Xenopus tropicalis: one gene and its partner. The protein of the gene in region 1 binds, or shares a complex with, the protein of each later gene. Links are inferred from orthologs where the notes say so. Each region holds a gene or a part of one and is shown on either strand. Other genes may lie near its edges.

Region 1 (3,649 bases):
GTTTGGTACTGTGTCACCTTTATGCCAAAGCCACAAATGGGCAGAAATAAGGTGCGGGGGGGGGGGGGGGGAGAAAGAGGTGAAACTGCTCAGTATTGGATTATATGTTCCTATTAACATTTCTTTAGGTGGATGGAAAGGTGAGCACCATCTACTGCCAAAACCTCTGCCTTCTGGCCAAGCTCTTCCTCGACCACAAGACCCTCTATTATGACGTGGAGCCCTTTCTCTTCTATGTGCTGACCCAGAATGACTCGAAAGGCTGCCATCTTGTTGGATATTTCTCCAAGGTGAGGGAAAGGGGCTGTTTGCTGTGCACCTGTGTTTTTCTCACTAAGGAAGAACGTCCCCTGATTCAGCTTCTTCCCAAAGTAGGTTACGCGTAGTTCCAGCTACCTTCAAAGCCAGATGGCAAGCAAATGGATGAATAATGAGGAGCCCTGATACGATAGTGCTGTGGCAGTGTTCTTAAAGGGACCCCCTCACTTTAATTTTTCAAATTTTTTTTTTTTTTTTTTTTATGTTAATAGTTGATTGTATTCATATATGTTTAAAGGGGTGGTTCACCTTCAGATTAACTTTTATTATGTTATAAAATGGACAGTTCTTATCAACTTTTCAACTGTTCTTTATTTTTTAGTTAAATTATTTGCCACCTTCTAACCATTTTCAGCTTTCAAATTCCCAATGGCCCATAACATATAGCAACAGAGATAACACCCTGTTAAAATCCATGGAAAATGGCATTGTTGCAAAAGCTCTAGATAAGAAAATCAGCCTTCCCAGCACTCTTATCTCTCTCATCTAGATAATCAGCAATGCCCGGGAGATGGCTGCTTCAATAGGCTCCTTCGATTCTGGTTGTTTGGTGACCCTAGCATTTAGTAGCAAAGGTTCCACGTGCCAGGTTTCTGCGCTGCTAAGGAATGCAGGGTGGCGTGTCAGTGCCAGCAGTCGGAGATGACCCTGCTCTAATTGTACGGCAGATTCCAAGTCTATAGAATGACATGCCAGAAGCTCTACATCAGAGGCTTCCACGGGGTTCTAATGACTTGGTGAATGCAGAAAGCTGTGTCCTAGAGAATATGAAAGGCTTTAGGGCTCTTTAGTCAGGCTTCAGAATTCTAAATAAGGCTGGTTCCCAGGAGTTCTCTCTTTGTGGCTATAGCAGCATGAAGCTCATCTTTCATCCTTATAATCAGCAGTGAGCTGCAAGCTTCAGAGGGTTCGTGCCAGTGCTGATGACACCGGCCTGTAATCACCCGTCTGAAATCCCAGCGTAAAAATGTCTCTCATCTCCCACCCAAAAGTGACATTTTGTGGACTAATAGGGAATTTTGTTGCAATGCCTACATTCTGCACCCCATACGCAGCTGTGTTGCATGCAAGCAGTGGTCCATTACAGATCCATACAAGTCCATTACAAACTCCATGGATATACACTTAATTACAAATGCAGATTATTGTGCTCATGGTAAGTCGTAATGCAAGCAAGGGCTGGCCAATAGGCAAATGCAAGGTTAAAGAGAAATTGTACAACTGTGATTGGCATAAAATCCTCAGACTGCGCCCTCTGGTGGCCAGACTTGCTTAAACGTGCAAGAATTAGGTCCATTTCTTAGAGGGCCACAGAGTGCTCTTCCTGTTTAAGGTTGCTAGGGCAACTACCTTGTTTAAAATCTTGGTTGCTGATGAAAAAAAATGGAAAAACTTGAAACCCACAGCACAATATGCAGATCAGTTGCAGAGTCTATTGTGATACATATATAAAGGTGAATATTGCCTTTAAGAATGAGCAGCTTCTGCTTCAGCACCCTACTATGAGAAACCCTCCTACCCCCCTCCTCCTATAAAATAAAGCCTTCCCCACTAACCCGTTTATCCGGTCCATAGAAGCCATGTATGTGATTCTTGTATAATACTGGGCCTGATCCACGCTCTGATGCATCTTTGTGTTTCCCTTCCATCCCCAGGAGAAGCACTGCCAGCAGAAGTACAACGTGTCCTGCATCATGATTCTTCCACAGTACCAGAGAAAAGGATACGGCCGCTTCCTTATAGACTTCAGTAAGTAAGGGGGGGGAGGGGACATACTTGTTAACACTATATGGGAGCTGTTTGCTTAGATGTATTCCACTGCTTTAGAAGCGCTTTATGCAAACGTTACTCTCCATATGTCCCCTTCATTGACATCCAGGACTGGTTTCATAGAGTGTCTAGAAGTGCAGACATTCTCTCCAAATATTACCTGGCTTTTAGGCTGGATCCCTATCCAAGGCACTGTGCCCCGCTGGGGGAGAGCCCAAGCTCCCTGCATTACTGAAGGCATCGGCTTCTTACTGATGTATGATCCAATGTATAGTAATGCACAACACCTTTGCTATTTCCTCCTAGGTTACCTACTTTCTAAACGAGAGGGGCAAGCAGGATCCCCAGAAAAGCCACTTTCCGATCTGGGTCGGCTCTCTTACATGGCGTACTGGAAAAGTGTGGTACTTGAGTGTTTACATCACAACCGAGAGCACCAGCTAAGCATCAAAAGGCTCACCAAGCTGACTGGTATCTGCCCCCAGGACATTGCGGCCACGTTGCACCAACTACGTATGCTGGAACTTCGTGGAGACCGGTGAGCTCCTGCTGCTGCTGTTATACTTATTTGGGGCTTCCTTGTTGCTTCTTTTTCTTTAAATTCACTGGGGAATGTAATCCCCCACCCCTTACCAATGCGTTATATGCTTATCTGTTTGTCCTCTTCTTCGTACAGCGTTGTGTTGGTTCGTCGGGAACAACAAATTCAGACACACATGAGTCGTTTGCAGGCCCGGCCGCGGGAAGTAGAGGTGGATCCAGAAGCTTTGAGATGGACACCTGTTATTGTCACCAACTCTGTGGTCTCGGATGAAGAGGAAGCGGAATCTGAAGAAGAAGAGGATGAGGAGGAGGAGGAGGATGAAGAACAAAGAAGTCCTCTGAAAGACAACAGTGTGAGTATGGCAGACTGTGTAACCATACTGCTAGCCTGCTCTTCTGTTCTTAGTCTTGTTCAGTCACTTACCTGCTATACATTGAATGATGTGATATGAACGAAATCACTGATTTAGGCTCTGAGCTGGGCCTTCCCTTGGTAGCCATAGTCTAGCTCGGGGATCCCCAAACTTTATACATGTGAGCCACATTTAAATGGAAAAAGTGTTTGGGAGCAACACAAGCATTAAAAATGTACCTGGGGGTGCCAATGAGCTATAATTGCCTACTTATTAGCCCCTGTGTGGACTAGCAGCCTACAGAAGGCTCTTTTTGACATTATATTTGGTTTTTATGCAACCAAAACTTACCAGAAGTTCAAAAATAAGTAGATGCTTTGAGGCCACGGGGAGCAACATCCAAGGGGTTGGGAAGCAACATGCTATTCATGAGCCACTGGTTGGGGATCACTGGTCTAGCTCATACTTATTTTAAATAAACATACTTACCTTACAGTTTAATGTTAATGGGGAGGGAAGTAAAGTTTTATGTGTACAAATCAGAAACCTGGTTGTGTGAAATGAATAATGATAAAGCTGGAAACATTGCGGTTAATTATCTCCCTCCCTCCCTCCTTAGCAACAGGTTTTGAGAAGCATCTCAAGAGAGTTTGAAAGAGAAACCT
Region 2 (4,160 bases), on another chromosome or scaffold:
GATTACTCGTTAAATTTTACCCATTGTTTTGTCCCTAAAATGTAAAATACTGCCTTAAGGTGGCCATACACGAGCAGATCCGCTCGCTTGGCGATGTCGCCAAGCGAGCGGATCTTCCCCCGATATCCCCACCTACGGGTGGGCGATATCGGGGAGCATTTAGGTAAAAAAAAAAAATAATCCGATCGTTTGGCCCTGGGGCCAAACGATCGGATTATGTGGGCAGCAATGGGGCAGTCGGATCGGGGACCGCATCAACAAGCCGATGCGGTCCCCGATCCGACCGGATTTTCTAACCTGGCCGATCGAGATCAGGCCAATTTCAGGCCAGATATCGGTCGGCCAGGCCGCTCTGCTCTCCCCATACACGGGCCGATTAGCTGCCGAATCGGTCCAAGGGACCGATATCGGCAGCTATAGTCGGCCCGTGTATGGGGACCTTTAGTGTTCACATAAAACACTGGACCAGAGCTCAAAATGACAAAAAGTCTTGCTGTGGGTGGCAGCTTGTGTTTCTTCTCTTTGAACCCCATGCCAGCACTGGTCTTTACCAACACCTTTTTGGAGCCCCTGAACTTTCTGCAGTGCAACTGATCAGGAACCTGCATACTTCTGTGACAGAACCAGAGCGAAGAGTAAAATTCTATAACCCTCTGAAGCCATTAAAAAAAAGACAAAAATCTCAAAATTACAGTTGGTAAATTTTACTTACTGTTTTATTCTAAATCAGCCATCGTTTTGTCCCTAAACTGTGAAAAATCTAGCCACAGCTGACAAAATACTTCCAGGTACAGAAAAGATCAAAAAGGTTACTTAATTTTACCAGGCCTAGTTTTCACAAAAGCCTTCACTTTTTTGCTGAAAACAAGAAAAGGGGCTCCTATCTCGTTACGTAGGATTAACTACAAAAGAAAAACGTATTTTTTTTCTTTTAGTTCCCTAGATCAAGACGAAGCTATACACAGAAAAAACAATGAGCAGAAGCTCTAGTGGCACAGCCCTTTGAACCCACCACAAACTACCACTTTTTGCAACAAGCATCAGGCTGTTTTACATTGAGTACATCGTCCTAACTCATCACTCTGCCAAACTGCTACGTACCGCGTCACTGCTCTCATAGACGTGAAGTTGTGATGTCACAGTCTCGCGCGATGAGACTTGTGACGTAGGGATTAGCTGTCAGGCAGGAACCAAGGGTCTGGATGTTAATGGCGTTGCGGGACGTTTAAGCAGGGAGCTTGGACAGCGGGTGTGTTAAGAACATCGTGATTGTCCCGCATATAGCGGGACTATTGTACTGTATGCTGCATACCGTTTTTAGTGACTGATTTCAATGTATCTTTTATACAAATCACATCGCTAAACGGTTTACTTGCTTAAAGCCTCCATGGGTTTTCTAGAGTTGCTTTACATATGTGTAACTGCATACGTGAATTTAACAGATAAGTAAATAATGTCGTGTCTTTGGATTTTTGACTTTGCACAGTGGTTCTCTCAAGGATTTTTTCAGGAATATTCTCATAGATTAAATCATTTCCTTGTGGACATGCTTTAGGGAAATGTATTATTGCAGTGCAAAGTGTAGCATTTTGTAGGATCAAGGCAGTATTTGCCCTGGTTTTAAGACACAGCGTAATATTTGCTAGGTGTTCTGATATTCATTGCAAATGTTTAAGTGTTAGGGATGCCCAGATTAAGTTTTTCAGGATTGGTCTGCGTGTTGAAATTTTCGTGAAGGTTTCTGAATCCCACTCCTAAAGAGCAGTTTAGCTTGGTCTGAAAGGGATTTTTCACAATAATGTTATCACATGATTTTAAGGGTTCTGCTTCGGTTCAGTCAGGCACTTGGATTCAGCCAAACTTGAACCCTGCAGAAGAAGGTTCAGCTGAATTCCAAATTTCATGCATACCTATTGTTCCAAAATGCAGTACTACACCTATTTTATGTTAATGATTAATGACCATTGGCAAGATTTAAGTGCATTTGCATTCTCTCGTGTTTTTATGCGGATTTCGGCTACATGTGCCTGCACCCGAGCGCATTCTATTCATTAGCCTAAGGCATTTAACAATTTTTGTTCCGTAACTTAGGGGCTTGGAATTTCAACTTTTAGACTTTAATTACCCTAATGTGAAGGCAGTTTGGAAGTCATAACCCTCATAGTCAATCTAATTTTTTTTATGGTAAGTGACCCCCCCCCCCCCACTGGATTGAAGTTACAGACTCGGAATAGACAGAATAATGAAGTCTAATAATTAACAAACTACCATCTTCTGCCTGTTCGTGTCCTCTTCATTCATTTACAAGGAGCCTGCACAGTTGAGGCTGCTTCTGGACCTAATTTCAACTGTGCATGCTCAATGTCAGCAAACTTCAAGACAAAACTTTGCAAGTAGTGCCCTGTCACAATTGAACTTGATATCACACTGCTGAAAGGCAGCAGGGGTAACCACTTAGCCACCATGCTGCCCACAGTAGTATTTTCTCTGCATTTGTTTTGTATAGGCAGATATCAAACAGCTTCCGGTCTGATTGGTCAGCAGTGTCTAATCTATTGTTTATCTGGGTAAATTATCTAAATAAGTTCTTTACTTTAAAATATCCTTTTTTGTAGGCAGTGATACTGTAAGACAGATTTGCATTACTTTTTAATCTTTACTTTTTATTTTATATCTCTCTGGCTAGGGATTTAATCTGCTGTTCAGTTGCTTGGGCTTGGAAATCAGGCATCAGCTTCGAAGTCAGAATAAAACATTAAAAAAGAGGGTATTATCAGAAAGATGATAAAGGGTTGATAGCAAAATCAGTCTTTCAGTAGATCTCTTTGGTTGCCAGGATCAGAGAAGTGTAAAAAAAAATGTCTAAAAATTTATTTTGAAAACTTCACCCTTAAAATACTAATAATAGATAAAATACTGAATTCTTCTTATAGTCATTGATAATCAGAAAATTTCAGTTGGTAATTAAAAATCTTTACCTTTTCTGTGTTATTGAGTAGGATTTATGCCCTTGTGGATAATTGGCTTTTAAGCTTACATTTCTGATGGAATGTACATTTTTAGGTGTATTACATAAGACTAAATGCTTCTGCTTTTAATGGAGCTACTACCCATTATAAACTACCATTATTCAAAACATTTGTGATGTTCGTTATTTGTAAATGTAATATTTAATGCTATTAAGACATGTCTCTTACCATTACTTCATTTGTTTTACCAATTACTTGGTGCATTCAAAAAATTGTACCAGTAATCAGCTACCCAAGTTTCTTCAGGGCCCTCCGTGTTTTTTGATCAACAGACCTAAGAAGAGGGAGAATAACAAGTTTGCAACAATGTGGGGATTTTAGTCTTATCTGTAAGGGAGTTTATTTCAGCAAAATTATTTCTGTATATTTTAAAGTTGCTTAGAGTTTAATATTTAACAGTTTTGAAATCAAAAGATGAATAGCAGAGTGCCTTAGAAGGAATGTAACCAAACAGAAGCCACGCATCTGGTGGCAGCCATTCACATACTTGCTTTCATTGTTCTGCCTGCAACTTGTTGGGAAAAAAAATCTAATCACTGATTAGTTGCTATAGGTTATTGCACAAATCAAATTCCCCCACTGTTGTAAATGAGCCAGCATATCTCTTTTTTTAGTTGTAGGCTGTAAATAGCCTTAATAGCAAAGCTAATAATTCAAAAACCATACAAATGAAATAATGAAGACTCAAAAGTTCTTTTGGGTAGAACATTTATAACAAGCTAAAAGTTAAAGGGATTCTGTCATGATTTGTATGGTTTAGTTTTTATTAATAAATTACACTGTGTACTTTGCATGTAATTAATTCTACAAATTAAAATGTTTTTCCTCAATCAATAAATTCATTTTTTATAGATGTAATATTGGTGTACAGCCAGCCATCTCAGTGCATTGTGTCTGATCCTGTGCTTTTTGAAAGAGCCAGCATATCACAATGGAACTGCTTTCAGATAAGCTATTGTCTCTTCTACATAATGTAACTGGAGGAGTCATGACTTGGGTGAGCCAGACGTGATTTTTTACTATTGAGTGTTGGGGTATGGGTCACTTTCAGCAAAACAGGTGTCAGCGAGCTGTTTTCTTGCTACTTTATCATTGATCTGTTGATAGGCTGCTGGGGCCAAATGGGAAGGG

The links.
Region 2: kat6a (region 1) and brpf3 share a complex: the UniProt entries of both Homo sapiens proteins name them as parts of the MOZ/MORF complex. The link is inferred for Xenopus tropicalis from reciprocal best matches to the Homo sapiens genes KAT6A and BRPF3.

The regions. Positions count from the first base shown.
Region 1 is NC_030679.2:130,478,428-130,482,076, reverse strand, and holds part of kat6a (histone acetyltransferase KAT6A), read left to right. Parts: intron 1-128; coding exon 129-290; intron 291-1,973; coding exon 1,974-2,067; intron 2,068-2,394; coding exon 2,395-2,626; intron 2,627-2,764; coding exon 2,765-2,984; intron 2,985-3,603; coding exon 3,604-3,649. UniProt on the Homo sapiens protein: Histone acetyltransferase that acetylates lysine residues in histone H3 and histone H4 (in vitro). Component of the MOZ/MORF complex which has a histone H3 acetyltransferase activity. May act as a transcriptional coactivator for RUNX1 and RUNX2.
Region 2 is NC_030678.2:65,001,821-65,005,980, forward strand, and holds the start of brpf3 (bromodomain and PHD finger-containing protein 3), read left to right. Parts: upstream 1-1,212; 5' UTR 1,213-1,249; intron 1,250-3,971; exon of another isoform or gene 3,972-4,017; coding exon of another isoform or gene 4,018-4,026; intron 4,027-4,160. UniProt on the Homo sapiens protein: Scaffold subunit of various histone acetyltransferase (HAT) complexes, such as the MOZ/MORF and HBO1 complexes, which have a histone H3 acetyltransferase activity.